2 linked regions of the Stegostoma tigrinum genome follow. The main gene of each other region encodes a partner of the protein of the gene in region 2 in a complex. Links are inferred from orthologs where the notes say so. Each region holds a gene or a part of one and is shown on either strand. Other genes may lie near its edges.

Region 1 (16,010 bases), on a different chromosome or scaffold from region 2:
TCCTAGACTAACGAGGAGAGGCTTTTTGTTAAAAAAAATTATTGCATTGTTAGCAATTATGCTCCAGATACACCAATATGATGGACACTAGGCTGAATGTCGTTTTTGGAGATGGTTTCTTTTCACAAGGCCCAGCATATTTTCTTGCACTTGCCTCACTAAGTAGGCACTACGCCTCTATGGCACTCCTTTGTCCCTTACTCTGTCTTGCAGGAGGTGAAAGTACTCACAACTGCCAGGCATGTTCCAAGATTCCTAGCTGTGGCACCATCTTTATAAGGTTGTTGTGTAACCACTGCCAACCTGATGCTGCCCCACACAGTTAGTGAGAATTTAGCAGGCATGGCAGGTAAGGGAAAATTGGCACTACACTTTGTGAGCAAGGATCTGGAGGTCCCAGCGAATGGCATAGAGCAGAGCAGTGTCACCATCTCCCATCAGGACCAGCTGAGGAGGCTATGACACGACAGCCTGCTGGCCTGGTCTGAGGTTACCAAGTGTGTCCGTGCAGCCTGTCGATATGGAGAATTGCTCAGCAGAATAGGAAGATGGCCTTCTTCATTCTTCATTCTGCCACAGCAACTTGGTACCATCTTCTCTCTGCTAATTCACACTCATTCTACTCATGTTACTGCACCCAGTTCTTGTCAAAGCTCATGGTCTACCACTGTCAACACACATATACCTATCCAACACATGTACTCGCAGTAAAGGTTGTGTCACCTAATTGCATCTCACCCAGTCCCTCCCATTTTATTTCATTCCAGGAGAAAACAGCCCATAACAGAGTAAAGAGAGCCAAGACAGATGGTAAGACACCTGACATTCCACTCCTTGCCAGCAAGGACAAGAACTGGTCCTTTGGAGATGCCAAAACGTTCAAGCACGTAGGAAGCACTGTTCATTTTAGTCCTGCCATCGTGTATATGATTCAGTAAGGATTCAAAAATCACCTTTGCAGTGTGTTGGGGAAGAAGTGGTAAAGTTAACATAGAGCATTATTGAATATTTGGTGAGGAATTAGACCCCCCAATTTCAATCTCCATCAAGGGATATCAGACAGAGAATCCCGGCCTGACACAGTGGTGTACTAGCATGCGCTACTATGGAAGCAATATCACTTTTAGTGTAAATACTTTGTATGAATTAAGATTGTGAAAATCTTGGAATCAATAAAGCTACAACTGTTAAATACTGAATATTGTAGTACTACTTAGCCTGCTCCTAATGCACTGACACAATGCAGTTAACTTAATTGTGACCAGAAATGAGTTTAACATTAATTATAAATATTAGGGACTCTGAGGTTCAAAGACACTCTTCAGGCATTACACTTTTTGCAGTTCAGCTTGAAAGAAACCAAACATTCTGGGTGGGTTTGCAACTGAAAAATGAAATACCTGCCCTTTTGTCTCTCTGCATCTTGTACAACAACACCTACAACAATTTATATTTAATCAGCACATTTAAACTAACAAAATGTACCAAGGCATTTCACAGGAATAATACAAAACAAAAGATGGTGCTGAGCCAGTGAAGGAGATGTGCATAATCGCTCTGTCCAAAGGGAGGCCCTTAGCTCACTGTCTTCTCTGTTTTATCCAGAGCTGTTTATTGGTAGTTTTTGTTTCAGTGCTGGTCTGCCTTTGCTTTCTAACATGGAAGATGTAGTGATTGTAATGAATTTAACCAGGTGGGCCACATAGAGTATGAGTTTCCTGATTGGGGCTGTTAATCTGATCCAACCAGGGAGCCCTGGCTGACAGATATAAACAGGAGTGTCAGCTATCCTGCTCACTCTGAGAGCTGGCTCTGAGGGAGGTAGATCAGTGATAAGCGCTCCCTACATGTGGGAAAAAAGCTGACTTGGTGACGGTATACTGACCTCTGAGGAGTTATTTCAGAAGGAAGTTTTAAGTCTACTTTAGCTGAAGCACAAGTCAAACCCATAGTTAGTGTTATTCAGAATCACAGGTTAGCCATTTAGCCTTCTAATCTATCTTTAAAAGTAGAAACTAGGTCACCTATCCCCTCCTCCCACCTCACTGACCAATCCCCACAACTGCCTACCTGCACTCACCTATCACCATCCCACCTACCTTCCCCAGCCCCACCCCTCCTCTCTCTCTTTATTTCGGAGCTCCCTTTCCCCATCCTCCATTTCTGAAGAAGGGTCCTGATCCGAAACATCAGCTTTCCTCTGATGCTGCCTGCTCTGTTGTGTTCCTCCAGCTCCACACTGTGTTATCTCTAAAAACTAAAAGTTTAATAAAGGAGACAAGCATCTTAAAGAAGGCAAAGGAGGCAGAAAGAAAGACTGAGCTATAACAAATGTGTGGCAGAATTCATGGTTAAGTCAACTGAAGGCAAGGCTACTGTTGATGGAGTGATTAAAATCAGGGATACTCCACAGGGCAGAATTGGAGGAATGCAGTTGGAGGAAGCACTCGGTGGAATTGCAGAGACATGGAGAAGTGTGACGCATAAGGTGACTGTCTCTCAACATTGCTTATTTTAATTTACTCAGTTTTGCAATTAAATGGCAACCCTGCCTAAGGAAGGACCACAAGCATTTAAGAAATTCAGGGTCATGTTTTCTTTCATATATTGACTGTTATTGCCAAACTGAACCAAGTCTACTGACAGCAGGGATCCATGGTTAGTGGAAAAAAATCCATCGTGTGGAATCAGGATGAGTACGAATTGAAGTTCAGGTGAGAAAGGAAAGTTGCATCCATCTCTATCCTAGATCTCCCTTTCCACAAGACTTCACTAATATATTCAACTTATCAATGAATTTTAATTATATTTGCTTTCATTTTTAACTTCTTTATGCACCTGAGGTATCATAACCTACAGGTTTAGTGACCAAGAGTTGAATGGTGAAATTAGACTGAATGCTATTTTTTTTCAGCTGGCATGAATACAATTGGCTAAGTGGTTGCCTTATGTGTCATAAATTCTAAAACTGTATACTTCTTATCTGAAACTTAATTTGCAATGATGACCCTTCTTTTGCTGTTAGCTGATGGAGTGCCAAAGAACCCAGATTTACTCTCTCACCCACTGGCATGATTTCATTGGGCAGCTAACAATGACCTGTAGATGAAGCCACATTTAAAAATACCTCATGCCTCAAAGTTTAGGACCATCAAACCCTATTCAAACCTGTTTATCCCTGTCCAGTTGGAAACATTCTAGGCTTTAAACATACATCACTGCGTCTCTCAGGTCAAATAATATGAATAATTTCTGAGTGAAGCATTTTACACATGTCATTTGATGTGTCAAATGAGTTTGAACAACAGCCAAGGAGAATATTTTGGAAACTAAAGCAAGTTACTTTGTAGCTCAGCCGGCTAAATAGTACTGATGCACTGTCAAAGGCAAAGATATAATGTTCACTTTTAAGCTTTTGGAAGGGAGTTAAAGCAGCTAAGTTAAAATAAAACTTTACTACAGAAAATATGAAGAACATGAATAATGAAATAGAAGTATAATCAAAAAATTCCCAACGGAAAGAAAAAGTTAGAAGAAGTAAATGAAAGTTTGGATGAAGAGGTGATTTTTAATCAGGGTAATAAGGAAATAGAATCAATAGAGTTGCCAACTGTGGGCTCAAATTGCAAAGATTACACACCAGTTAACAGAATCATGATGTCAGGCCCATTTGGGAAGTCCACTAATGCTTATGGCTCACTACTCTTGGGGTCATCACAAAAGTTAAACATTTAACCAACTTACCCAAAATCCACCAGTATTTATCAATATGATGGGCTCAGGTTAACAGAAAACTTGATGAGGTTTAGCACTTAATAAGAAACTATTATTTATCATAAATGAGAGAAACATCATATTAAATATTAACTTATGACCGCCAGCTTAAGCTGTATTGCTTTCCCCAAGCTCACATGCAGAAAGGCGCAGGCAAACAAACACATTGCTGTCATTGGTTGAGGGAAAATATCTGTGGTAACAGTTCAATCACACTAATCCACAGGATTTGTGTCCTTTTGCTTCTTCTAATCTACTGAGTTCTGATCTTATTTCCACACCCTTTCAGTTCATTGCTGAAGACACAGCGCAGTTGACACATTAACTGTTCAGTCTTTCAGTCACCTGCTGAAGGCAATAATTTGAGCTGAAGGTGGGAGAGAATAGTTAACTATCAGTTCGAGATTACTTCAAAGTGGAGTGAAAGAAATAAAACGCTGTCTCTTGCAAACTGGAAACCTTCTGCCTCTGTACTGGTCACCCACAAATTGTCCATGTTTCCCATGGCCAATCAGTGGATTGTTATCATGCTGACAGCTTTTGGCTCCTACATTCGGCCTTTATTAAAACTCTAAATCAATAGCCTGTCTCAGGGTGAAGCTTGCTCTGCATACAGACCCATTGTGCCACAGGTTCTTCAACAACTGCTCGGCAAAGCAGTGGTGTAAACAAAATTCAAAATGAATTCCAGTGCCTCCCACTGTCCTTGGTTTAAAGTAGTTTTGTTTCACATTTTGGTCCACATTCCACAGTAAGGGGAGAAATGGGTCTTATGGATGCTTGCAATAACCTATTCAGTGATGCTTAGTTTGAGTTCTTCGAGAGCCACTCAGCTTACTATCTCATTATAACCTTCATTCAAAGATAAACGAAAGAGCTGAATTCCAGAGTTGATTGAGGGTAAAGTAACTGACCATTGCTTCATGGCTGCATTCAACTGAGTGTGGTGTCAAGGACCCCTAGCAAAACTGGAGTCAATGGGAATCAAAGGCAAAACTCTCCTCTGGTTGTAATCATATTTGGCACAAAAGAAGATGTTAGTGTCTGTCAGAGGTCAATCCTCTCACTCCCAGGACATCCTCAGAGTAGTGTCCAAGGCCCAAACATCTTCAGTAGCTGCATCATTGACCTTCGCTCCATCGTAAGGTCAAAAGTGGAGATGTTTGCTGATGATTGCACAATGCTCAGTACCATTTGTGACTCCTCAGATACTGAAGCAGTCCATGTTGATAGGCTGCAAAACCTGGACAATATCCAGGCTTAGCTGAAAAGTAGCAAATAACAACAGTGCCACACAAATGCCAAGCAATGACCATTTCCAGCAAGAGACAATCAAATTAAATTCAATAGCTTTGCCATCAATGAATCTCTCATTATCAACAGCATGGGGTTTATTATTTACCAGAAACGGGACTAGCCCATATAAAATTGAATGGCTACAAGCATAGGTCAGGGGTTAGAAATCTTGCAGCGAGTAACGCTTCTCCTGACTCCCTAAAGGCTGTGCACCTTCTACAAGGCATAAGTCAGGCTTGTGATAGAATACTTCTCTTGCTTGGATGAATGCTTCTCCAGAAACTTTCAATACCATTCAGGACAAAGCTGTCTGCTTGTTTGGCATCACAGCCATTTCCTCCACTACTGAACATCAATAGCAGCAGTGTACCATTTACAAAAATTGCAGAAATTCACTAAGGCTCCTGCTAAATGCACAACCACCATGAAGTAGGACAAGATCAGCAGATACACGAGAACCCCATCAGCTGCAGTTCCCCTCCAAGCCACTCACTATTGTGACTGAGAAATACATCATAGTTCATTCATGACTACTTGGTCAAACTCCTGGAATTCCTTCCCTAATAGCATTGAGAGTGTACAAACAGCACATGGACTGCAGCAGTTCAAGAAGACAGCTCATTACTGTCTTTTCAAGGGCAACTGAGGATGGGCAATAAATACTGACCCACATCCCAAGAATGAATTAAAACAAGGTAATCTTAGATAGGGGATTACAGGAGCAGGAGAGAAATTATTCAATGGATAAGTCAACTCATATGTTTAATTATACTTGAGAACACAATAAATAGGAACAGGAGTAAACCATACAGCTCTTCAAACCTACTCTGCCATTCAATATGATCTCGAAAGATCTTGGGCTTTATTTTCTTGTCTGCTCTCCACATCCTTTGCTCTCCTGAGAGACCAAAGGTTGATCTGTGTTAGCCTTAAATGCATTCACTGACCCACAGTCCTTCAGGGTATTCCAAAAATTCACAATCCTTTGAGTGAAATAATTTCTCCTTTTCATTTTATTTTTCAAAATAAGTATGACAGAATTAATTTCAGTTATTGAGAAAAATATACATTTGATTTTATGTTCAGAAAGCATTTTGAGTTTACCTTTACAACAAGCAATACAGCACGATGCTGCAGCATTACAGTGGGTCTTTATAGGTCAGTGATCAGATTGAGAAAGAAGATTCCTACAAAACATCACCTGCTGGACTCACAAGGTAGTGTAACAGGTAAATATGGTAATTTGTAAATTTGATTTCCTATAGACTATGTTTACATAGTAGTTTTCAATTGATTGTACGACTCACCTCAAAATCTCAAGGGATTATAAATTAAAACTAATCATGGTACTGAAGTAACTAACAGTGCTATAATTTCAGATTATCGCTCTTTGTGTCACTTTGCCATTTTCCATTATGACATTGTACTATGTTTTAGGACTATTTATATGCTAGTATTTCACTACTAAAGTTAATATTTTACAGCTAATACTGATTTAAACATTAATATTTACACTGTACAAGTGTCACAATACATCATGGAAATTTTATTGGAACATATGAAGTGAGTAGGCCATTCAGCCCCTCAAGCCTGTTCTGTCATTCAATGGAATCTGGCTGATCCAAGGCCTAATTCCATATATTCGCTTGGTGCGAATCCTTTAACGTCTTTGCTTAACAAAAATGTATCTATCTCAGACTTAAAATGAACAACCAATCTAGCATCAACTGTTATTTGTGGAAGAGAGTTCCAAGCTTCTATCACCCTTTGTGAGTGGAAATGCTTCTTACCAGTCTCACATCAAATGAGCTGGTAGAGGTGTTGCTTCTCTTCTGTAGTAATAACATCTCAAATTCAAATTATACAATGCCCATTGCAAAACCTAACAGATGCAAGACTTCCTAATAAAAGAGATCTTGCCTTCTGCACCCCTTTCAGATTCTGGCAAAGAGTGCCCACTCAAAACATTGACCTGCAAACCATCTGAGAATTGTGTTTCTTTTTTAAACCCCTTGTGCTTTTTACCCCCAAGACCTGCAAACCACCATTGGCAGTGGTGCTTCTGCCACCCATGTTCTACTTTCAAGAACATCTCTCCAAACTTCTCTCTGTTCCTTTAAGGCCTTGAATAAAACATATCTCTTTGGCCAAGTTCAAGGTCATCCTTTCTAATACCTGTTTCTTTAGCTCAGCATTCATATTTTTACCAGATTATGTTTCTGTGAAACATTTTGGGATGTTATTCTAAATTAAAGGTGTCATAAAATAAACATTGTTGTTATTCTTAGACAAAAGTTTTCTGACTTATAAGTATTGTGGATTTTCTGTATATTTCTAGAGTTTTGTTGTTCTATTCAAGATTATCAGTATTAGCAGTTTATTTTTCCATATTTATTAGGAACATATGTTCTCCAGACTAAACTTTGGACTAACTTTGTCAATATTTCTCCACAACTTATGAACGGATATGTTGACAATCATCTTAAATAAACATAAGTTGTTTAGTTTATCAATTACATTATTTAGGTTATCCCTTGATTACATGGGAAGGGGAGGGAAGATGTAACACCCATGAGACAATGGACCTACATAAAGAGTAGATAAATCATTCTCTGCTCAAATCAGTAGTCATTGCTTGAAATGTATTATTAAATCAAAAGTTTGAGTATTGGAAAACTGAAAATGCTGCATAAGCATAGGATTTTAGCCAGCTCGTACTTTCTGGATATAAAGAATGCACTTGTACAGGTTAAACGGTTACAACCCCAGCAGCTAATTGGAGAAAACACCAAAGTACACTTTAGTCATTAGTGTAAAAAAGCTTCTGACATTTTTGTCTTTGTTTCCACAATCACCATGCTTGGCCTATAATAAAGTGGTTAATTTTCAATTTGATGCTGAATTTCAGAGTTCCCACATTTTTAATTTATGAATTTTGCAAAGCCACAGCCCATAAAAAAAAATTGGCAATGTTTATAATCTTATTTTGAAGAATTGAAAACACTCAGATCAAAGATTCAACAAATCCTTTACTACATTCTCTTGACATTACATTCCTTTTATTCACTCAAAATTTTATATACCCTTGGTTAGTTTCCCACATTCTACACTTTATAAACGTGGTCGCCAAAATTCAGCTGCCACATTTCAGTTTGCAGCAACTCTCATTACCCTATCACTCTGTGACTTATACAGTCTCCCGGTTATCAACACGTTGACTTAAAAATTCTTATCTTGTTTTCACACCCCTCAATGATATCACCCTGTCTCTATCTCTGCAATCTCTGACAGTCCCGCAACCCTCTAAAATACTTACACTCCTCTCATGCTTTCCCTTTTTGCCCAATCCCAAGGGTTATTCCTAATTCCACCATCCATGGCCACGCCTTCACTTGCCCCGGCCCTAAACTCTCTCTCCATACTTCTCTACCAAGTGTTCCTCCTTTCAGGAAACGCATGACTGCTTTGATCAAGCTTTCATCTGACCTCATATAATGTTATGTGCCTTGGTGAAAGTATTATACAAATAAATGTTGCTGTTAAACTTTTGCACCAAAATTAATGAACAGGCTATGGAATCATATGATCTATTGAAGGGTTTGTCATACAAAACCAAATGGGGAAAAATGCTTTTTACTCATGGTGCATATCAAGCGAATGAGTGGCATCTAGTGGGAGGAGGTAGGCTAGTCACCACCATTTTCTTCCCTAACATAAGGCGAGTGATCCGTTTGAAGAACATTTTTCTTTAGTAATCCATGCATTTATGAAGGGTAACTTGGATGAATATTTGCACTGTTGTTCGGAGTCTGATTCCTTCAACACCAATATTCCCTCAAAGGGGATTTTCTACGGCAAGTGGTTATTCTATAGATTATGCAAGCGACATAATGAGATCAACTGTACATGGTCGAGTAGTATCGGCGGAAGTTTCTATGAATAAATTATATCTAACAGAAGCGCGCTGTGAACCCAGTCCCCCCATTTGTAGGACACGGTGGTCTGACTGACTCCGGCCAGTCGCCGCATGGCGCCGTTGTTAGTCTGCTCTTTGGTTTATGTGTCCTTACAAATGACAGTTTGTGTATTTTCTCCAAATTTCTACATTTGACGTGTCCACGTTCGCAGTGTTAAGCGGTGTAGGGGGCTTCATTATTAGGATACAATAAATAGGAAGTTAATTGAAATCATCAAAATCACCGTTTCGTATAGATTTGGACAAGTCTTGCTCTCACCAGGTCCGCACACACACTTTGGTGTTTGTTTGAACCTGAAGGGAGTAGTAAACAACATTCTGATTAAATAGGCACTGTTAAAGGTTTAATACCGGCACCGTTGCACCTTTGAATAGCTGCATCTAACTGCAGTGTTTCATGTGCAAGTACACACTTCTTGCTGACTTTAACATCCATATCACAGCGTTTCCAATAATATGTCACGTCGGAAATTAGACTTGAAGAAATAAACATGTTTATCAGAAATCATATCCTGAGGATCATCAAATAAACTGCAAGAGGCAGGAATATAATGGCAGTTACCGGTTCCCGGCTGAGGGAAGGGGATAGAAAAGAAGTTCCTGGTATCCACGCAGCGTTGTCAGTCAGTGACGGTCTCATCATCATCCGGGCTGACGAAAATAATGCAATTCAAGGAGTGCTTGATCGGGAAGGATGTATTTTCAAATCGCGTTAACACGTTTCCAATTAAAGACACGCCGGGGTAATCCGTTGGGACCGATTACGTCTGCGAATAGACAGTAAAAGGTTGGGAAAGATCTAACGAAAGTTACCGAACAAAGGTTGCCAAGTGGACTTTTATTGTTTGCCACCCACCTCAAGTCGATAATATCATATTGAACTACCACATGCATCGTATACTATATAAGGGCCTGTGCTGGGAGGTACTGCAGAAATGGTGTAGTTTAAGGAATAAAGTGCACACCGCGAGAAATTATTTATTCTGCGAGCAAGTTTCAGCAAAACAAAAACGACCCGACTTGCAAAGAGAGGGGGAAGGATATATTTTGAAGGTAAATGCATGATTTTTTTTAAAATTCGCGATTCAGGTCTAGATTATATAGATGCTACTTTGAGAATAAAAAGTCTTGCTCCAGTCAAGCCAGGTAGCACATGCCGGATGCTGTTTTCCTTCTGGACTAAATCGCCTTCCTTTGCAAAGTAGCAAAAACAGCAGAATTGTATGCACTTTTGCCACAATTATCAAATGTGGATTTTTTTAAAAGAAAGGAATTTAATGCTAAATTCAACGACTAACCATTCAGTGTGAATCTTAAAACACAGAAGAGTTTGAATTTTCAAGACCGTAAGAAGCAGTAAAGTGGTTAGTGCTGATGAGAGTGGTGTGCAGTTTATGAGTGGCTTGGTATATGCGTGCGGTTATTTCAACTGAGCTGCTAAAGATCACTATGCCGGTGTATTCTCTCTTCTAGAGCTACGGAGTCGCAGCTGGGAGGCTTTAATCTGATCTCAACATCAGAAATGAACAGTCTGAGGTCGCCGCTATTCTTTGGACTGGTACTGCTCATTAGCACAGCTGGATATTGCAAAGAGAGGACAGATGTCACGGAGTTACGGGAGAATAAAACCCTCTTTAATTTAATATTGGAAATCATTAATCAGTTACAAAAGCACCAGGAGGAGGAAACTAATGAAATCGACTACTTCCCGCAACCTGTCGATTATACGTTTGATTCCCGGGAATTTCCTGACAATGAAGTCTATCATAAGGAGGAAAGAGTTGGTAAGTGTGTTCGGGTCTATTGTTTCCACGGTAGTTATGAATCTACCCCTGGGGGATTTTCCGCCTCACTGAGTGAAGAGCCAGATATATTGGGTGATCACGCATTTCATTTCCTTTTACCAAATTGAAAGTAGGGGAGGACTGGGCTGTTTGAATCTGGGAGGGGGAAGGGGGGCGATAAAAGCGATGAATGACCGCTTGGGGCTGCGGAAGGTCTGCTCGCTCTCTGTAGCTGGTTTCTGGTACAGACGGGAAGAAAGGAAGGTGGAGTGGGGAGGCGGGGTGGTGTGGGGTTGGGAGTTGGGTTGGTGGAAACTGATGGCAAGGCGATGTTGGCTACTTTAAGGCAAGGAGCGACACTAAACCCAGCAGCTTGTATTCCCCCCACCCTCACCCATCCATATATGCTAAACGCAGTTAGACAGTTTGTGAATGGTCAGCAGCCAGGAAAGGGTGACTTGAGGACATTGTCCCGCTGCTCAAGAGATCCGCGGGAGAACGGGGACTGTCTGCTTGCTATCAATCTCTCCCAGGTGACGGGGGGGACGCTCCACATTCACGATCTATAGCCCTGATTAATTATTTTTTTGCAATATCTCACTATTTTGGGATATGTCGATCTGGTCAGGTATGGGAACAGGCAGGGCTAGGGTAGGAGTTACAAAAAGCGATCCTCCCTCCCCTGCCCAGCGTTCACGCAGCGTTGTCTCGAATTGTCTATTAACTCGGGGCTCCCCTCGACAATCCCTCAACATTGGGACAGTCGGGGGACGCTGTCTTTTCGCTTCTTCCTTGCTTGCGGATTCGCCTCGCTGCCACTCAGAACCAATCGTTCCTGAAGTTGCCCGTGACTCCAGCACACACCTCAAGGCGAGTCGAAACACCGTTAAAACGATCGAACTCCACGTTAGGAAAGGATTGGCCAAGGTTTAGCAACCCCATCAAGCTAACGTTATCTCAGCCCTGCCTTTAAACCCCTGTCTGATTTTCCAACAGAAATAGTGCCCAGAGATCTGAGGAAGATGAAAGACAAGTTCTTGAAACATTTAACAGGTAAACCACGGCTCATTCAGTGTGGCTGTGACTGCGTGTGTTTTTATGCCCAGTGCGGATCGGCCGGTTTTTAACAGTGATTGCCTTTCTCCCCAGGTCCACTTTACTTCAGCCCCAAGTGCAGCAAACACTTCCATCGGCTGTACCACAACACGAGGGACTGTACCATACCAGCATGTAAGTGCGAATCCGCCACTACTTTCCCCAGTCCCCTTCTGGGGAAAGCGATCGTTTTACGCATGAGTCTAAGAGGCTTTTTTTTTATTAAAGCAATTAGGAAAATAATGCAGTGCTGGATATCTGAAATTTGAAAGAGAAAACTAGTTGGCCCCACAGTAGGTCAGGCAGATTCTTCCGAACGAAGTGTAGTTACAGTCTGAAGGACTTTCCAAACTGTGGACTTCTTGGTCTCCCACTCTCATGCCAGGGTCACTCTCATTTGGCAGCTTTCATTAGAGCAGCACGGATGTGGCAGAGGAGGATGGTTTGCATTGGTTTCGGTAGAGATGTGACCATGCATGATGTTCAGAGCTAGTCCCAGCTAGCAGACTGACAGCAGGATCCTAAGATGCTGCTTGGCCTGCTGTGTTCATCCACCTCCACACTGTTGTCTAGGATCACAGTTCCCGCTGGAGAGGAGGGTGGGAGGGAGAGAGAGAGAGATGAGGGGTTTTTCTGTGGACATTTCCATTCTTACCTGAATGATCCTGAGCCGGGTGGTCAACACTCTGGTCTGAATGACTGAAACTTCAGCAGGCTGATGGTGGGAAAGGATAGACTCCATAAAGGCAAGTGACGGAGAGTCTGGCCTGCTCCACTATACTGGCGGACACCTGTTGCCAAAATCATTCCCAATGAGACTCATTCAGGTATATGCAAACCATATCCCCACTGTCTATCCAGAAGGGCAGCGGCGCGTTGGATTCTATCAGGGTGGGCCGAGATAAATGTCGGGAAATGTTAAGGGTTACGCTTGCAACCCAATGTGGCTTGTGTTGTATCACATCACACATCATTCTAAAACCCAGCATTACCGCTGCAATAATGATTGAAGTGTTTTTTTAAAAATGATTCTCATGGGAATGAAAATTATCGGACAATCGGGCTCGTTTGCGAAATTGCTTTTTGAACGCGAAATTCAAAGGCAGACACTTTACACAGCCCGTTTATAAAAATAGAATTGACCCATCTGTTTATTTACATCCTTCTGGCTTAAGTGGGAAGCTTCAGTAACTCCATATGGCAGGAATATGTCTTTAACAGACAAATGTCTCTGAGAATGAAAGAAAGCTGACGATTCGGCGACTTTATTATCTGTTTGTTTTCGAAAGAGAGACACAATCTCCTGCAAATAAATCTCCGTGAGTGCTTTTCTGTGCCGTGACAGCTTTCTCTTCTCGTAGATTACAAAAGATGTGCCAGACTTCTCACAAGATTGGCAGTCAGTCCGATGTGCGCTAAAGGCTAAAATTCGATTACTGGTAAGTGTTGCTCACGGACTGCCATCCTGTGATACTTGAGCTTGGCTGTTCTACATTCTGAAGTTTCGACTCTGACATTCTGGGGGTTGAGGCGGGGTTGTTTGCGTGGCAATTTGGAACGATCTATTCCGTTAGCAAATACATTTCAAAACCAATCGGCCCTTCCATGCAGACTATCCCTTTCAAGCGTGAGTTTGTCTTTCAGCCAAAATCGATCAGGGGCTAAATGCAGCATTTCTTCTTTACCTTCCTGATAGATATCACATCGGTACCAGTGAAACCCACCCAAGCTGCCATTTCGTTTGGGTAGCTCATCCTATTATTTGGCTATTCTAATGTACCTCAGAGCAATGTAGGCAGTTTGTAAAATTACGCTGCAAATATATGAAAGCTATTGCATAATCGGACGGTATGAGCAAAAGCTGTGTCTGGGCAAAAGCCTAGTTTCGTTCGCTTTCAACTCAACAGCTGAACCACAACCACATGAAACCAGACTCAAGATGTAATTCCTTTCAATATTAATGGCCTGTTAGTAATGTTCTGCCATCTTGATGCTTTACTGCACTATATAAGGCAGCACTAATTGCCATGGCTACGACATCATAAGAGATGGCAGCAATTGATATACACACCATTTTACAAAGCTTTCTAATCAATAGGTCGGCCCACGCATCGTGAAAGTAGAAAAGCCAGCCGGGCTAATTAATATGCAATCGAATGAATGCTGAACTTCCACGCCTCACACATCAGCGACACCCACAACGTCACTGATTGCACGAATGCCTCGGTTAGGAAAATAAGACATGTAAGATGTCTAAAGTACATATACCCTGGGAAGGAAAAGGCAGTAATCATCATTTACAACTGAACAAAAGGTATCAGGTGCATGTCTTACTTCATTCTGGCATCTGGGCTCCTGTACCTCAATGCAGATTGTCAGGACAAACTTGAGGCAGGATTGAGGAAAAGATAGAACTTCAGATGGTAACACTGCTCTAGGTAATGCACATTCAGTTAGACACCAACAAGTTCATTTCATTATTGATTAATCATTCTTTTCATTCACTCAGCTTTACATGAGAGTGGGGATATATTTTTTCAATTGCAGTGCAGAATTGAAATTCCAATTGTGATGATGCTTGGTGAATTCCACTTATTAATCATCACTGACACAAAAATAGTTCCAATACTGATTTTTAAAATATATTCTAATTTTTGTGACATTCTTTCCTTCATCAGTTTGGAGGAGCAGTACAACTGTAGCAAATAAGAAATTTTTTCATTAACTTGCCATGCCTCACTATCATGTCTGACTGATAAAATTGATGTGGTTTGCCTAGCTAGTTGAGAGGCCAGCAAATTAGGAACTCAAACTGATATCTTACCTTTAAATGTAGCATTTAACCAACTATTGTTATTAAATAGCTGCAACAAATGGACTGAAACATTATATCACAATTCTCATACAGAGCACTGAACAGGAGCTGCTAAGTTTATGACACCTGAACCAACTTTCAACCAGTCATGCACCATTGTGATGTAACCACACAGATGAACAATCTAAAGGTGCACTCTCTTCTATGGAAAGGATCCTGGCATAAAATGTTTATAAACAACAAAATAAATTACCCGTGGTAGATATACAATTTCTGAATAATTGTTAAAAGGGCCAAAATATGCCATCATTTTCAAAACCAAAATGGCATTTTGGAACAATTACAGTCATCAACTAACTTGTAAAATGCTCCTGAGATGCTGCTGGGCCTGCTGTGTTCATCCAGCCTCACATTTTATTATCTTAAAAATGAAACCATTGAGTTCCACGTATAAACGTGCAGCAGTTTTGAAGAACTTATAAAGCAAGCATTCCACTTTTTAAAACTAAAATCCATGAAAAATCCAGTGACTCAAGGGTTAGCTCTGCCTCTCAGTGCCAGGTACCCAGGTTCAATGCCAGCAGCCTTGGGTGACTTGTCTGTGTGGCGCTTACATGCTCTTCCCATGTCAGTGTTGGTTTCGCTGGGTGCTCTGGTTTCTTCTCACTGTCCAACGATATGCAGGCTAGGTGGATTGGCCGCAGTAAACGTGGGGTTACAGTGATAGATGGGGAGCTGCGTCTGGGTGGGATGCTTTTCAGAGGGTCAGTGCAGGACTCGATGGGCCAAAAGGCCTCTTTCTAAGCTGTAGGCACTCTGTGATTCTAAATTAAGTATACAAAATGCAATAATCTTATCTTACAGGTATCAACATAAAGATATCCCCAGAACCAAGAAAAGTGCCTTGGAAAACAACAGGGAAACACATTGATCTCAATACCTTTATAACATATTCCATTGTGAACAAAGATTTATTTTTGCAAACTGATGGATTACCTCCATGAACTCATTAATGTGCATTTTGTGTGTTGTCAACATTATTTCTGTAATTCTGTACATTAGTATAAATAACTGCCGATGTTACAAAGGCTGAACATTTAAGAAAATAACAACACTTCACTGTTTTCCTGTGTAATGCTGCCAAAAATTGCACAAATGCTTTCTTGTTCATGTTTGGAGTATTATTTTGTATTAAACATTGAGACACTCAGATACTGTTCAAGACAAGGCTAATGTATCCTGAATTTACTGTAGGATTTTTTTCATGCTT
Region 2 (15,455 bases):
GGACAGTTTCCACAGACTACATACGTGTTGCATCATTTTAAAACAAAAATCTACCCAATTTACATAATGTATATTAGCACCAGATTACATCATTTGCAGTTGTGGTAATTGATTCTATTTAATGTACATCAGCCTCTTTTAGGTAGCTTCCTAATACGAAACATGAAATCGCTCCTCATGAAAAGAACTTACACTGTACCTTTAATGTGTTCTTGAGTAAACATTAACTTTCTTTATTCATTTGTGAATGTGGGCATCGCTGGCTGGCCAGCATTTGTTGCCTGTCCCCAATAGCCCTTGAGAAGGTGGTGGTGAGTTGCATTCTTGAACCACTGCTATCCCTCTGCTGTGAGTTGACTTACAGTGTCATTTAGGGAGGGAATTTGAGGATTTTGACCCAGCGACAGTAAAGGAATGGCAATATATTTCTAAGTCAGGATGGTGAGTGGCTTGGAGGGGAACTTCAAAGTGGCAATATTCTCAAATATCTACTGCCCTTGTCTTTCTAAATGGAAATGGTCAAGGGTTTGGATGCTGCTGTCTAAGGATCTTTGGTGAATTTCTGCAATGAATCTTGTAGATAGTACACACTGCTGCTACTGAACATCAGTGGTGGAGGGAGCAGATGCTAATGGATACAGTGCCAATTAATCAGGCTGCTTTGTCCTGGATGATGCCAAGCTTCTTGAGTGTTGTTGGGGCTGCACTCGTCCAAGCAAGTGGGGAGCATTGCATAACACTCCTGACTCGTGCCTTATAAATGGTGGGCATTCTTTGGGGAGTCAGGAGGTATGTTACTCACTGCTGTATTCCTAGCCTCTGATCTGCTCTTTTAGCCATTATGCTTAAGTGGTGAGTCCAGCTGAGTTTCTGGTTAATGATAACCCTCAGGATGTTGCGAGTAGGGGAATTCAGTGATCGTAATTAACAGAATCATGGAGCTTATACAATGCAAAGTGTGATAATTTGGCTCATAATGTCTATGCAAGCTCTTTGAAAGAGCTATCCAGTTGGTCCCATTCAAGAGGAAGGGGAAGAAAATTACATAACAACACTGCTATTCACTAATTAAGAAATCATGTTAATGTAATCTATGCAAAAAATTGACAAAATTTATTTTAAAATTATTGGTCTCTCCAGCAAAAGGCTTACAGCACTAGTAAAAAGAAATTAGAATGTTTTCTGTGACAAAAGAAGTCAGAAGGATTTTTTTCACATAAGTGGTAATGAAATTGTGAAATAGGTTACCAGACAAACACATTGAAACACAAATGGAGTCACCAATGACAGGCAGGTGCTATTGATCCATCACAATGGGAAGGTGCATTGGGGCTAATGCCATTTCTCTATACAGAAACAAAAATTCTTAAATGATGAGTTGTAAATTCTACATCATTTCCAGATTTACACCTTGGACACAATATAGTCAAGACGCAACATTTCTTACAAGAAATATTGCATTGCAGGCACAACGTAACTGGAATTTTATGCTGTTTGATTTGTTTTACTCAAAATTTTAATGGAAAATACTTCATGAGAAGTACTATATAAGATTTCCATCATTCTCAGATTTTCCACAACACTTGCCTTTCAATCCCTCTTTCATTTTATGATCCAATGAACAACTAAATAACATTTTCACATATCAATATCCACTTGAATTTCAAACACCAATTTTTTTGTTTGCAAAAGAACTCTTCAGAAAATTCTTTAACTCTCACTATTTTGTGTCTTGTTGCTTCCTTTTATCTGCAATATTTTTCATCTGTTTTGCAGTCATTCATTTGGAACCACTTGCTCTATATCACATTTTTGAGCAATCCTTTAATCCCTTTCTTGCATTTTGCTTATATTTATTTGGTTTAGTACTTTCCTCATTTTCATTTTCACTCATTGTAATCCATCTCCTTTCTGTCTCTTTTTCAATCTAGCAGTTCTCTCATGGCTCTTGCTACATTACTGTAAATTTCCTGCATTTTCTTTCAATATTAGTGTCCCTCTCCCTCATCTTGATCACCATATTTCCCCTTCACCCTTCTCATGAATGCCTCCCTCACATCTACTCTGTATTGCTTCTTTTTGCACTAGAAGTTCCCCTGCTAGCCATCCCCTAATCTAAGGTAAAATTGCTTCTGGACAACTTTGTCCAGTTTGCTGTGTGGTGTAGCTTACAGCAGTGGGACTAGTGATGATTCAAGAGCACACCTCAAATGAGCAGACATTGGATTTTAGTGATAAGTCCATTGCCATTCTTTTAGATATATAGTGTATCAACTTCAAAAGTTACTCACTTGAAATGACATCAAGCATAATAAGGAAATTTGCTCTACTAATAGTTAATTTAAATAGCTCAAGTAAATTAATTCAATCCTTTATGTTTCATTTATGATTTGACTAAATTCTTTATTTGCTTCCTTTTGTTGGCACTTGGGTACTCATGAACTTGTATCAATTGCTGAAATAACACACTTTCAACCATTATTATGAACAGCCCAATGTAGCTATAACTAATATGTCTCGAAGAAGAAGACAAACTACTAACAAAAGTCACATTGCTCATGCTACCCCATGCATGCTTTGTCTTCACTCGAGGGTGATCATTGTCGATACAAGTGAACATACCTCAATTTAATATGCAATTAACGTAAGCAAAGACTTCTCAGCCTGAAGGAAAATGGACCAACAGACCCAATGGCACAATAAAGTACATACAAATCCACAAAAAGTTATATCGGAAATTTGCTCAGAAGCAAACGCACGATATCATGCATGAAAGAAGACATGCTAAGGTACTCAGTGGATAATGAAGACTAACTGACTCAGTCTGGCAAAATGTTACTAACCTTTACTGCAGCTTCTGTAATATCCATTTGTAAATGGCTTGTTCCGAACTGGCTTCAGATGATACAGATGCACAGCCACATCATCCTTTGCGATGATACTTCCAGCTACTGTGCTGTATAAGGCTAGCATATTCTATGACAACAGTCGTCAACTGTAGCCTGAATCTTGGCTCTATGTCCTTGCAGTCCTTTTATGATGCTACCCTATTGTGGGGAATAATGGAGTTACTGAATCGAAAGCAGCCAACACATACAGCGCCAACTTCACTAAAGCGGCGATAAAGCAAAGGATCAGGTGGAGAACTGCTCTATTCCTTGACCTGGATTTATGCCTGAACCTCAGGTTTGTTTTTCTTTTCACCAAGGTCCCCTTCATTCTTTCAGCTGCTCATTTGCTGAATCACATTTCGAGGCTTTCCAAGGCTTTCAGAATTTGGCAGTCTGTTTAATTTTCTATAGCACTTCAAAATTTCACTAAATGCGGCACTCCCACCACCTCTCTGCTCTTTTACAGCCCATCCAAATCCATTCCCAAAGCAATGTGAATGAACTGAAAATTGAATGCAAACGTCACACTTCAGCTTGAAATATCGAAAACACGCCAGGAGTCTTCGGAAGGAATTCTTAGTCTGCAAATTTCTTCCCCTCCCGTCATTGTTCCCTTCAACTTTCTGAAACATTTGCTGCTTATTCTCCTTTCAAATCTATGAAGGAAACTTTCAGGTTGGACTCTGATTCTCCAAAACCCAACCAATGCTAAAGTCGGAGATAGTAGGAGCTGCCGACGCTGAAAATTTGAGATAACACAGTGTGAAGCTGGATGAACGCAGCAGGCCAAGCAGAATCAGGGGAAGAAGAAGGGTCTCGACCGAAACGTCAACTCTCCTGGTCTGATGCTGCTTGGTTTGCTGTGTTCATCCTGCTTCACGCCGTCTTAACTCAACGCTGAAGTCAGTTGAGACACCGAATTCATAGAAACCCTGAAGTGTGGAAACGGACTATTCGACCGCTCCTAACCTGCAAAGGGCATTCCAACCAGACATATTCCCACCTTATTCCCCGTAACCCTGCGTTTCTCCGTAGTTAACCCACCTAGTCTACAAATCTTTGGACACAATGGGGCAATTTAGCATGGCCAATCCACCTAGCCGGCACATCTTTGGACAGTAGGAGGAAACCGGAGCATCCGGATGGAACCCACACAGACACAGGGATAATGTGCAAACTCCATACAGACAAATCACCCTTTGCTGGGATCGAACCTAGGTCCTTTTCACTGTGAGGCCGCTGAGCCATCGCGCTGCGAAAAAAAAAAATTCTTCTTCAGGTTCAACTAAACTTTATAATTGTGGCCAGTTTTAACCCATCAATGAGCGAGGAAATAGACAATCTTGGGTGCAAGGTGGTTTGAAAAGTTGCACAATTTTAAATTCCTACTCAAGTTGGTGGAGAAGAATATTTTGTAAAACCAGTGTTCCAAATGATCCCATCAGCTTCCCAGTGGGTGAACTGAATTAAAACCTATCCCTTTCTTGTTTCTGAAAGAGCTGCAGCTGTTAAAACAGACGCTTGCAGGAACTTGCTTCCGCGTTCATCTTCCACATGATACCCTGAAAAAAAGAGCGTTCTTCACCGTCACTCCTTCACTGGAGAGGCTTCCTACAGGACCTCCAAGTGCTGCTGACGAGACATCTCAGCACCTAAGAAATGGAACAGGTAAGCACTGGCCAAGGTGTGCCCAGTTTCCCTTGAGCACCGCAATGTGATCCAAAAGGTAGCTGAGATATTTTCTACATCAACCTGTTGTGAGATGTCTTATGATAACAGAGGCGTCAGCACACAACTCTGCAGCCGGTGGAACTTGAACCCGAGCCTCTTGGCCCCGAGGAAATACCATGACAGCACAAGAGCCCTAAAAACAAGTAGGTGCACTGTCTTAACTAAAATTTGATTCAGGCTGGTAAATCGGTGCATTCGACTTTATATTGTCCTCTTTCTTGATGCGGTTGGTCAACAGCTGGAAATCCTTTAAAGGTGCTCGCGTGTCTAACTTGCTGTCTGCACTTTCTATCACCTTCTTTCATCCCCTGTACATTCTGCATCACACTGTGATTCATGTATTTCTGTGCAACTCTCGTCTCTACACTTCTTTATATGGTCTGTAAATAAAAAAACGAAAGAGCTGCGGATGCTATAAATCAGAAACAGAAAAAAAAAACAGGAACTGCTGGAAAGGCTGAGCAGGTCTGGCAGCATCTGTGCACAGAAAGTTCTGAGGATTGGTCACTCGACTCGAGCCGTCAACTCTGATTTCTCTACACAGATTCCACCAGACCTGCTGAGATTTTGCAGCAATTTCTATTTCTGTGTGTAACATATAGCCTCTCCTTGCAACCACTTGTCGCTCACACAGTTAAGGTCTGTTCGATTCCTCTCACACAATACGCACCTAATTTTGTTTCATTCATTGGCACTTTTCCATCCTTTGGCGTCCTGTCCAACTTTATCTGCCACTCCTGATTCTGTCACACACTTTTCTCTGTCTTTTTTTTAAAAAGAAAAACATTTTCTGTCTCACTGATGCCCTCCTCTCCAACAAAAAAAGCCCCATCTTCCAAAAAATAAACACATGTCCCAGCTTTCCTCCAAAAACGAAACACAAATCTCAGCTCCCCAAAATTAAACACAAGCCTTAGTTCACCGTAAAAAGAAAGATAAGTCCCACCTCCCCAAAAGAATCAATCAAGTCCCAGTTCCCCAAAAAACCTTCAAATCCCTGCTTCCCCCAAAAAATCAAATAAGTCCCATCTCCCAAAAATAAACACAAGTCCCAGATCCCAAAAAAGTCTCAACTCTCCTCCAAAAACTAAACACAAGTCTCAGCTCCCCTAAACTAAACACAAGTCTCAGCTCCCCTAAACTAAACACAAATCTCAGCTCCCCAAAACTAAACACAAGTCTCAGCTCCCCTAAACTAAACACAAATCTCAGCTCCCCTAAACTAAACACAAGTCTCAGCTCCCTAAAACTAAATACAAATCTCAGCTCCTCAAAACTAAACACAAGTCTCAGCTCCCCAAAACTAAACACAAGTCTCAGCTCTACTCCAAAAACTAAACACAAGTCTCAGCTCCCCAAAACTAAACACAAGTCTCAGCTCTACTCCGAAAACTAAACACAAATCTTAGCTCCCCAAAACTAAACACAAGTCTCAGCTCCCCAAAACTAAACACAAATCTCAGCTCCCCTAAACTAAACACAAGTCTCAGCTCTACTCCAAAATCTAAACACAAATCTCAGCTCCCCTAAACTAAACACAAGTCTCAGCTCCCCAAAACTAAACCCAAGTCTCAGCTCCCCTAAACTGAACACAAGTCTCAGCTCCCCAAAACTAAACCCAAGTCTCAGCTCCCCTAAACTAAACACAAGTCTTAGTTCCTCCAAAAAAAACCCATCTCCCCAAAAATTCAATCAAGTCCTACCTCCCCAAAAAACGAAGTCCCAGCTCCCCAAAAAGTAAGCACCCACCCTCATCTCCCAAGATTAAGGCACAAACGCCAGTTTCTCCAAAAACGGAAGTTAAGTTCGAGCTGACCTGCGAAGGAGACGTGGAGCCGAACCCTGGGCTCGGAGGTTCTGATCGCGGCGGAGATGATCTCCTCCCGCTGTGGGTAGGACTCACGGGCTCTCCTCTCGGGTATCAGGCGGATCCTCAGGCGTCCCTCGGAGGAGCTGCTCCACGCCAGGAAGACTCGGGTCAAGTTGTAGAGGAGGGGGGCGGCTGGCTGCCGCTGGGGGGTTTGCGGCCGGCAGCGGGCGGTATCTCCGGATGCGCCCACCTCCAGGACCACCTGGTTAGGCTGATGCTGTTTCTTCAGTCTCCGCTTGGCGGGCTGAGGGGACGCTGCTGCGCTGGAGCCGGTCTCCTCGAAGCCGCTCCGGGCGCTGATGCCGATGCCGTCCCGGTGTGCGGCGGTACCTTCCAGGGCGGACGCTAGAGCCTCGCAGTCCAGCAGCAGGCGGCAGTCGGCGTCCGCCGCCCGCCCGAAGAATTCTAACAGGTAGTTTCGAAACAGCGGCGAGAAGGTGAAGTCCACGGCCAGCCCTTTCCGCTTGAGCCGAGACGTGTAGGTCTGCTCCGCTCTGGCCGCTTTCTTCTGCGGGCGACTCTCGGCCACTCTCCCGCTGCCTCCAGTTCCTCCTCGTCGCTGCTGCTGCTGTCTCTCCGGCGAGGAGGGCGGCAAGGCGCCTAAGAGAAGCAGGAGGAAGAGGACCGACCCCCCACTCTTCATTCTTCCATGTGGCGGGGATAGAGATGAGAAACGAACCCGGGGAGGCGAAGAGAATGAAATATATATATATATATATATATATATATATTATATATATATATATAAATCAGCAACAAGCGACAGAGAGAAAATAAATTGTGTCAACAGTATGTGCAAGAGGAGGAGGGAAATTGGGAAAATAAAATCTGAACTAAATGTTTCTTGCTGCAAATATCGAAGCCTTGCTTATCGACCGTTCTTCATCACTGATCGCGTCTCCAGCAAACTGCTGTTATTATCAATTCCTGGTCAGTTGTTTCCACTGTAAATGCATTTATGTTCCATTCAACCGATCCAGTCAGTCCCCTTCCCAAAAACAAATCTTCTCCAGAATCCTGCCGTTTGTCGCCTCCCCTCTCTGAGTTGGAAGTTGAATTAAATCTCTCCGCTGTAGCTCTTGCTCTCTTCGGTTTCAAGGGGGTTTCAGGGGCTGTGTGGTACGTCGCCTCTTCAGCGCGTGTGCCTGGATGGAGTGAGCGCTGACGGAGCCTGTCCGCTGCTTCTGTCCTCTTCCTCTTGCTGTGTCTCTGTGTGTGTGTGTATACGTGAGTGTGCAAATATATCACCAGTGTGTCTGTGTGTGTGTGTGTCAGCCTTGCGCTTCGGCTACACGCTGCATCTGCACGATCACAAAAAATAAATAAATCCACCCCAAACGACTTTCTCCCCCCTCTTTAACTCCGGCTGTAGCGTCAGCGCCTCCCTAAAGACACATATATAGACACATCCTGAGTGAGTCAGACACTCTGTAGTCCGGCTCTGGAAGCACCGGACAACAACACCGTTATTTCATTTTTAATCAGTTTAGAAGAGGTCCCAACGGACGTGTGATGTCTTTCTAAGTGTAATGTCAAGTATCGTTTTGATTTTTGTTTTGGTTTGGGTGGTTGGTGGGGGACATAGGAAATAAGAAATCTCCCGGACCGTTAATAAACTCATTCATGAAGCATTCGCAGCACAAGACGCGGCGAGCACTTGTGAGGCGGGGAAGAATCTATGATAAAATTCCTCAGTTCCATTTCACCTATTAGCATTTGACCGACTGCCCGTCCAGATGTATAAAAAAAAATCCCAGACTGTCTGGACAAATGGGACAGGTGGCAAAGGCTGACTCCTGTTGATGTGAGACTCGGCGTTTTCGAGGCCCTACAATGTGAAGGTACACCCGTTTCGGTTAATCTCAGCGTAGCTGTTCTTCCACATGCGCTGAAATGGGATTTTCAATCAGCTTCACTATTTTACGATCGTAAATCTAATGCTCCTCACCCCCTCCATCCATACACCTCCGTGCGTTTTGCTACTCCATTAGATCGAGTATTTAAGCGAACCCTTACCGTTGTGACACTTTTAGCTCTCCATTGCATCTTAATTCCTCCAGTCTTCCCCTTGCTCTGATAGTCCACGCGCTTTTAACCTCAAGTTAAATATTGCTTCAACTACCTTCAATTTCACTTTGTTGAGTTGTTCTACGTTGCAGTTTGGGCTTCGTTCCTTGTAGATTTTTTTTAATATGGAACACCTGAAAGAGATTTATATCCACAATTTAATGTTGCCCCTTTTCAGCAATGCTTTGCTTTAGAATTGTTACGATGAAAAGAAACATCGATTATTGGAAACCACTTAAATAGTTGCATCGGTAAAGCGCTGCGTGGATTAATACACAGAACGTGAAAGGACCTATGAGATCGTTCACCTGGGTCGGCGGTGGGAGCAATTGAACTAATGCTTGAGATTGAGGTCAGCTTAAGGGGAAAAAAGGCATGTCTCGTCACAGAAAGTGACCTAGGGGATAGACTAGAACTTGGCTAACGTACGCGCTGTCGTCCTGCGTCCAGTGGACCAGTTTACGACTGAATATCGGGTTAGATATCAAAGCGCGACAGGGTCTTCAGGAGGGGTAGGTATGCAGAAGAGGAACATAAAGCACAGATTGGATCAGCTTTGGACAATAGCAGGTCTGAGGGGGCTTTGCAGAAGACTCATTTTCGAATGTTACGTGACTGTGCGCACAAGCCTCAATGTATTTGTAACATTAGGCAGAACTTAACTCTTGCATCAACAGCAGTTTGTGGAGTGGAACAAAATATCAGCAAGTCGTGACGGCCGAGCAAGGGAAGCTGGATGTTCAGCTACTAATTGGCAATGGGGAAAAGAGATACGGATGTGGGAATTGGAGGAAATGCTGCTTTAGGATAAAGGAATGGAAGTGGGTTCATTGAGACGGGGAAACAATCGAACAGATGATTTCTACCTTAGTGACTAAGAGGTCCAAAAATCTTTTGCACTCACTTTTGGAGGTGAGGATAGAGGTACAGGGAGCAAATAAAACAAAAGGCAGCAAAGAAGTGAAAGGAGACTCTTTTTGCTCTCAAAGACACTCTTGAATTTGGTTTTCACTGAGAACAGGTTGTACTGTTGATAGGTGGCTAAACCCGGTGAGTGCAGTCACGAAATATATTCACAGCTCGGATAAAGCAACATAGTGGTTTTTCAGGAAATTCCCAGCATGTTCATTTCATAGAGTCACAGAACTTTTACAGTGCGGGGGGGGGGGGGGGTTCATTTGCCCATTTGATGAGCATCGTGACATAATGGCATTCTTGCACCATTTCCTCACAATCCTGCACATTATTTCTCCTTAACCAATGCCTCAATTAAACCTGTTTTCAACACATTCCAGAAATGCAGTCCAGACCCAAACCATCCACTGTGTGAAGAAGATTTTTCCCAAATAGCACTTACTTCCTTTGCAAATCTGGGTAGGAACAGATTCTCCCTGTCTACCTTGTTCAGGCTTGTGATTTTGAAAGCTTCAATCAAATATCCTCCCAGTCTTTTCCACTCCAAACTAGTCATGATTTCTCCAATCTATCTTCATAACTGAAGTTTCTTATCCCTCGAACTACTATAGTTAGCTTCTTCTACACTCTTTCCAATATGTTCAGATCCTTCTAAAGTGCAGACATGTACAAAATACTCCAAGTGATGACTAACTGACTTATATTTATTCAGCATAACTTCTCTATTCTTGTATTTTATCACCCTATTAGTAAAGCCTAGAATGCGATATTTATTAATCACATTCCACCTCCTCTGTCCCCTTTAAGAACATGCACATATACACCCTGGTCTCTATGCTAAAGTGGTACTTTTTACTTCATATTGTTTCCCTATGTTCTTTCTACCAAAAAAAGTATCTCCTCACACTTCTTCACATTGGATCTAATCTGCCACCCATTAGCCTACTCCACCAACTTGCCAGTGTTCCTTGGAAATTCTATGATCTTTCTCACAATTTGCAATGTTTCCAAGATAAAGACAGTGTATCCTTAGGAAGCAGCTGAGCTGCAAATAAGTAAAGCTCCCACCTTCATAGAATCATAGAATCACTACAGTGTGAAAGCAGACCATTCAGCTCATCGAGTCAACACCAACCTTCCAAAGAGCATCTCACTCAGACCCGCTGCTGTTTCTTGTGTTTCCCATGACTAACGCACCTAGCCTGCACATCTTTGGAATTTGGGAGGAAACCGGAGCACCCAGGGGAATCCCACACAGACACGGGGAGGATGTGTAAACTCCACAAAGACAGTTGCCCAAGCCTGGAATCAAACCCAGGTCCCTGCCACTGTGAGGTAACAGTGCTAACCATCTTTTGCTGACCATTGCTAGGATTTGGGACCATGTAGATCAACATATTTCAACTCTTGCAATTTTTCACGCAATAGCAGGTGACAATATTATAAAACCACAGGTGTCATCAAAAAGTCAAGGAAATGTGTTTCCATACTAAACAACAGTGATAACAGAAGAAAACATCGAAAGGGCAATACATTACTAGAAAAGGACATTGACATGGGCAGCTACATTACATTTAAAAGCCAATTAGAAACATTTTTGGAAAGAAAGTGATTGAAAAATATGATAAGAAGTGAGTTAGTAGTGTAAGCCTATCACAAAGGTTTATTGAATCATTTTATGCCCTTAACAATACAAATGTTGATGTGACAAAAGACTCAATTCCCTCTCTGAAATTGCCTGCTTTCAAAGGCAGTTGTTGGTGTGAAAGAAAGAAAAATGAAAATGTAGCTTTAAGCAACAAGTTAACCTCAAAAAATGTTCATCAATAAAACCTATCAGTTACTGTTACCATGGGTTTACCTGCGTGTATGCGGATAGAGGCATAAGATCATAAGATACATTTGGCCCATCAAATCTCCCATTCAATCATGGCCGGCCCAAACACATCCAAACCACATTGTCCAGATTTGGCATCCTTCTACTGGCAGTTCTCCTTCAATCTGAATATCCCCCAAGACTCTATTGGTACCGTACAAATAATTACATTAGTACACCCAGAATGCCACTTTAGATAAGCATAGATTCATACATTGAAGAAGAGACCCTTCAGCCCATTGAGTTTGCACTAACATGTGAGGAAATAACTGACCTTCAATCTAATCCTGTCTACCCAGCAATTGGCCCATAGCATTGCCTGTTATAACATGCCAAGTGCTCATCCAAGTACTTTTTCATGGATGTGAGGCAATTCACCCCTACCACACACCCAGCCAATGCATTCCAAATCATCATTACCATCCCGGGAGAAAAGCTTTTTCTCACATTCCCCCAAGACCTCCTGCCTCTCAGCTTGAACTTATGTCCCCTCACCACTGACCCTTCAACTATGGGGGACAGCTGCTCCTTCTCCATTCTGTCCATGTCTCTCATATCACTTGCACCTAAATCAGACCACGCCTCATTCTTCTTTGCTCCATGAAATCTGTCCAACCTTTCCTCAAAGCTTAAATTTTCCATTCTAGGCAGTACCCTGGTGAATCTGCTCTGCAGCACCTGCAGTGCAATCATGTTTCCTGTAATATGGCAAGCAGAACTGCACACAGTACTATAGAGTAGTCTCATGAAAATTCTATGAAACTCCAAGATGACTTTTCTGCTTTTATCATGTATGCCTCCACTGATTAAGATAAGTGTCCCTGGTGCCTTTTACACTACCCTATTAACATGCCTTTTGCCTTCAGAAATCTGTCGACAAACACTTCAAGGTCCTTTTGTTTCATAGAAGTTCCTAGTGTCATGCCATTCAATGAATACTTCCTTGTCAAATTACTCCTTCCAAATTGTATCACCTCACACTTTTCAGGGTTAAGTTCCATCTGCCATTAATCTGTCCATTTGACAATCCTGTTTGTACTTACTTGGAGCCCAAGACACGTAATCTTACTATTAACAATCTGACCAATCTTTGTGTCATTTGCAAATTTACTATTCCAACCTCTCACATAGTTAAAAATAGGAGACCCGACACAGATCACTGCGGTATACCACTGGACACCGGCTTCCGGTCACTAATTCAGCCTTCTGTCCTAGCAGAGATAGCAAGAACTGCAGATGCTGGAGTCAGAGATAACACAATGTAGAGCTGGAGGAACAGAGCCAGGCAGCATCAAAGGAGCAGGAAAGTTGACATTTTGGGTTGAAGCCCTTCTTCAGAAATGGGGAACAGGGAGGGAGCTCAGAAATTATATCTGAGAGAGGAGGGGTAGAGCTGGGGAAAGTAGGTAGGATAGTGATAGGTGAGTGCAGGTAGAGAGTGGTAGGATTTGGTCAATGGGATGGGAGGGGAGGATAGTTGGAAGAGAAGATGGACAGGTTGTGTCAGGTCAAGGAGGCAGGGATGAGAGGGAGGCTTGGACATGGGGTGGGGAGATTTTAAAACTGACGAATTCCACATCTAGGACATCAGGCTGTGGGGTCCCAAGGTGGAAGATGAGGTGTTGCTCCTTGAGTTTGCAGATTGTGTCATTGTGACACAGGAGGAGGCCCAGGATAGACATGTTTCCCAGGGAATCGGAAGGCTAGATAAAATGGTTGGCGACCAGAAGATGTTGTCATTTGTAGAGCACTGATGCAGATGCTCTACAAAACAGTCTTCAAGTCCACGCTTGGTCTCACCGATGTAGAGGAGGCCACATTAAGAGCAACAGTTGCAGTAGATCAAGTTGATGAATGTGCAGGTGAACCCCTGTATAATGTGGAAGGTTTGTTTTGTGCCTTGAATGGAGGTGAAGGGGGAAATGTAGGGTCAGGTGTAGCACTTCCTGTGGCTGCAGGGCTGAGGCTGTGGTGGGGTAAGTGGGAAGTGTGGACTGGGCAAGGGAGTCATGGAGAGAGCAGTCCCTACAAAGGGTAGATATGGGTGGGGAGGGAAATATCTCTTTGGTTGTGGGGTCAGATTGTAGGTAGCGGACATGGCGAGACTGATACGTTGGATGTGGTGGTTTGTGGGGTGATATGTGAGGATAAGGTGGGTTCTGCCTTGAGGAGAGGGAATGTGAGGGCAGAAGTGCAGGAAATGCAAGACACGTGGTTGAAGGCAATTTTGATCATTGGAGAGGAGATGTTACAACCCTTGAAATAAGAGGACATCTGGCATGTGCAGGAGTGGAATGCCCCATCTTAGGAGCATATGCAGTGGAGGGGGAAGAATTGGGAGTGGGTGAACGCATTCTTGTAGAAAGGTGGATGAGAGGCGATGTCATCCAGGTAGCTATGGGAGTTGGTGGGCTTGAAATAGATTTCAGTTTTGAGGCGGTCACCAAAGATGGATACAGAGAAGTCCAGGAAGGAGAGAGATACTGGAGATGGTCCAGGTGAACTTGAGGTTGGGGTGAAAGGTGCTAGTAAAGTTGATGAATTGTTCAAACTCCTCGTGGGAGCATGAGGCAGTGTCAATACAGTCAACGATGTAGCCGAGGAAGAGGTGGGGGATAGTGCCAGTGTAACAGCGAAAAAGGGACTGTTCCATGTGTTCTACAAAGAGGCAGTCATAGCTTGGGCCCATGTGTGTTCCCGTGGCCACCCGCTGAGCCTTTAGGAAGTGGGAGGAGTTAAAGGAGAAGTTGTTCAGGGTAAGGAAGAGTTCTGTTAAGTGGATGAGGGTGTCAGTGGAGGGGGACTGGTTGGGCCTGCAAGAGAGGAAGAAGGACTTTTGCGCCATCTGCATGGGTTATAGTACAGGGATTGGATGTCCACAGTGAAGATGAGGTGTGGGGGACTAGGGAATTGGAAGTCTTAAAGGAGGTGGAGGGCGTGGGTGGTGCCCCAGACTTAGATGGGGAGCTTCTGGCCGTGGGAAGTAAAAACAAAGTCAGGATAATTGGAGATGAGTTCAGTGGGGCAGGTCCAGGCAGAGATACTGGGTTGGCTGGGGCTGTCAAGTTTATAGATCTTGTGAAGGAGATAGAGACAGGCAGTGCAGGGTTGGGAAATGATGAGGTTGGAGGCTGTGATTGGGAGGTCACCTGAGGTGATGAGGTTACAAATGGTCTGAGAGACAATGGTTTGGTGGTCAGTGGTGGGGTCATGATTGATGGGGTGGTAGGAGGAGGTGTCAGAGAGTTGGCACCAGGCCTCAGCGATGTAAAGGTCAGTGTGCCATACCACTGCTGTGTCCTTCCTTATCCATGGGTTTGATGGTGAGGTTAGGGTTGGAGCGGAGGGCTGTCCATTCCATGGGGGAGAGGTTGGAGTAGGTGAGAGGGGTGGAGAGATTGAGGCGATCAATGTCACAATGGCAGGTGGAGATGAAGAGGGCAAGGGAAGGTAGGAGGCATGAGATGATGTCCAGGAGGAAATGGTGTATTGGAGGCAGGAGAAGGACCCTGTTGAGGGCGGGTTAATCTCACAGTTAAAGAAATAGGTGCGGAGGTGGAGGTGGCAGAAAAAGTGTTCGACATCCAAGAGTGAGTGGTATTCATTAATATTCAGGTGGAGGGGAATGAAGGTGTGTCCTTGACTGAAGTCTGACTATTCATCCTCAGTAAGGGGGACGTCTGGGGGGGATGGTAAAGACCCGGCAGAGCTTGGGGCTGGGCCACTCTCTGTTTCCTACAACTGAGCCAATTTTTAATCTAATTGCTCCAAATCCGGGATAAGACATATATGACATCGGTGCAGAAATTAGGCCATTCTGCCCATCGAATGTGCTTTGTCATTCAATCATGGCTGATAAGTCTCTCAACCTCATTCTCCCGCTTTCTCCCATAACCCTAAATCCCCTTGACAATCACGAACCTATCTATACTCAATGACCTGGCCTCCACACTTTTCTGAGGCAATGAATTCCATAGATTCACCACTGTCTGGCTGAAGGAGTTTCTCCTTATCTCCGTTCTAAAGGGTCTTCCCCTTACTCTAAGGCTGTGCCCCCAGGTCCTCGGTTCTCCTACTAGTGGGAGCATCTTCCCAACTTCCACTC

Evidence for each region.
Region 1: the proteins of ALK tyrosine kinase receptor-like (region 2) and alkal2b are in contact, whole or in part, in a cryo-EM structure (PDB 9G5I), measured with the Homo sapiens proteins. The link is inferred for Stegostoma tigrinum from reciprocal best matches to the Homo sapiens genes ALK and ALKAL2. Residues at the interface, in NP_004295.2 of Homo sapiens: Leu684, Tyr739, His755, Ser758, Leu760, Phe856, His857, Glu859, Leu965, Tyr966, Thr967, Pro968, Leu970, Lys971, Val972, Met973, Glu974, Glu978, Asn980, Val992, Glu994, Cys995, His996, Met997, Phe1007, Asp1009; in NP_001002919.2 of Homo sapiens: Ser112, Lys113, His114, His116, Arg117, Leu118, His120, Asn121, Thr122, Arg123, Asp124, Arg133, Arg136, Leu137, Arg140, Leu141.

The regions. Positions count from the first base shown.
Region 1 is NC_081357.1:108,097,961-108,113,970, reverse strand, and holds the start of alkal2b (ALK and LTK ligand 2b), read left to right. Parts: upstream 1-9,505; 5' UTR 9,506-10,099; intron 10,100-10,519; 5' UTR 10,520-10,568; coding exon 10,569-10,830; intron 10,831-11,826; coding exon 11,827-11,883; intron 11,884-11,979; coding exon 11,980-12,060; intron 12,061-13,286; coding exon 13,287-13,351; 3' UTR 13,352-13,364; intron 13,365-14,833; exon of another isoform or gene 14,834-15,040; intron 15,041-15,604; 3' UTR 15,605-16,010. UniProt on the Homo sapiens protein: Cytokine that acts as a physiological ligand for receptor tyrosine kinases LTK and ALK, leading to their activation. Cytokine-binding is sufficient to activate LTK. In contrast, ALKAL2-driven activation of ALK is coupled with heparin-binding to ALK.
Region 2 is NC_081362.1:75,413,771-75,429,225, forward strand, and holds the start of ALK tyrosine kinase receptor-like, read right to left. Parts: upstream 7,171-15,455; 5' UTR 7,136-7,170; coding exon 6,439-7,135; intron 2,942-6,438; exon of another isoform or gene 2,844-2,941; intron 1-2,843. UniProt on the Homo sapiens protein: Neuronal receptor tyrosine kinase that is essentially and transiently expressed in specific regions of the central and peripheral nervous systems and plays an important role in the genesis and differentiation of the nervous system.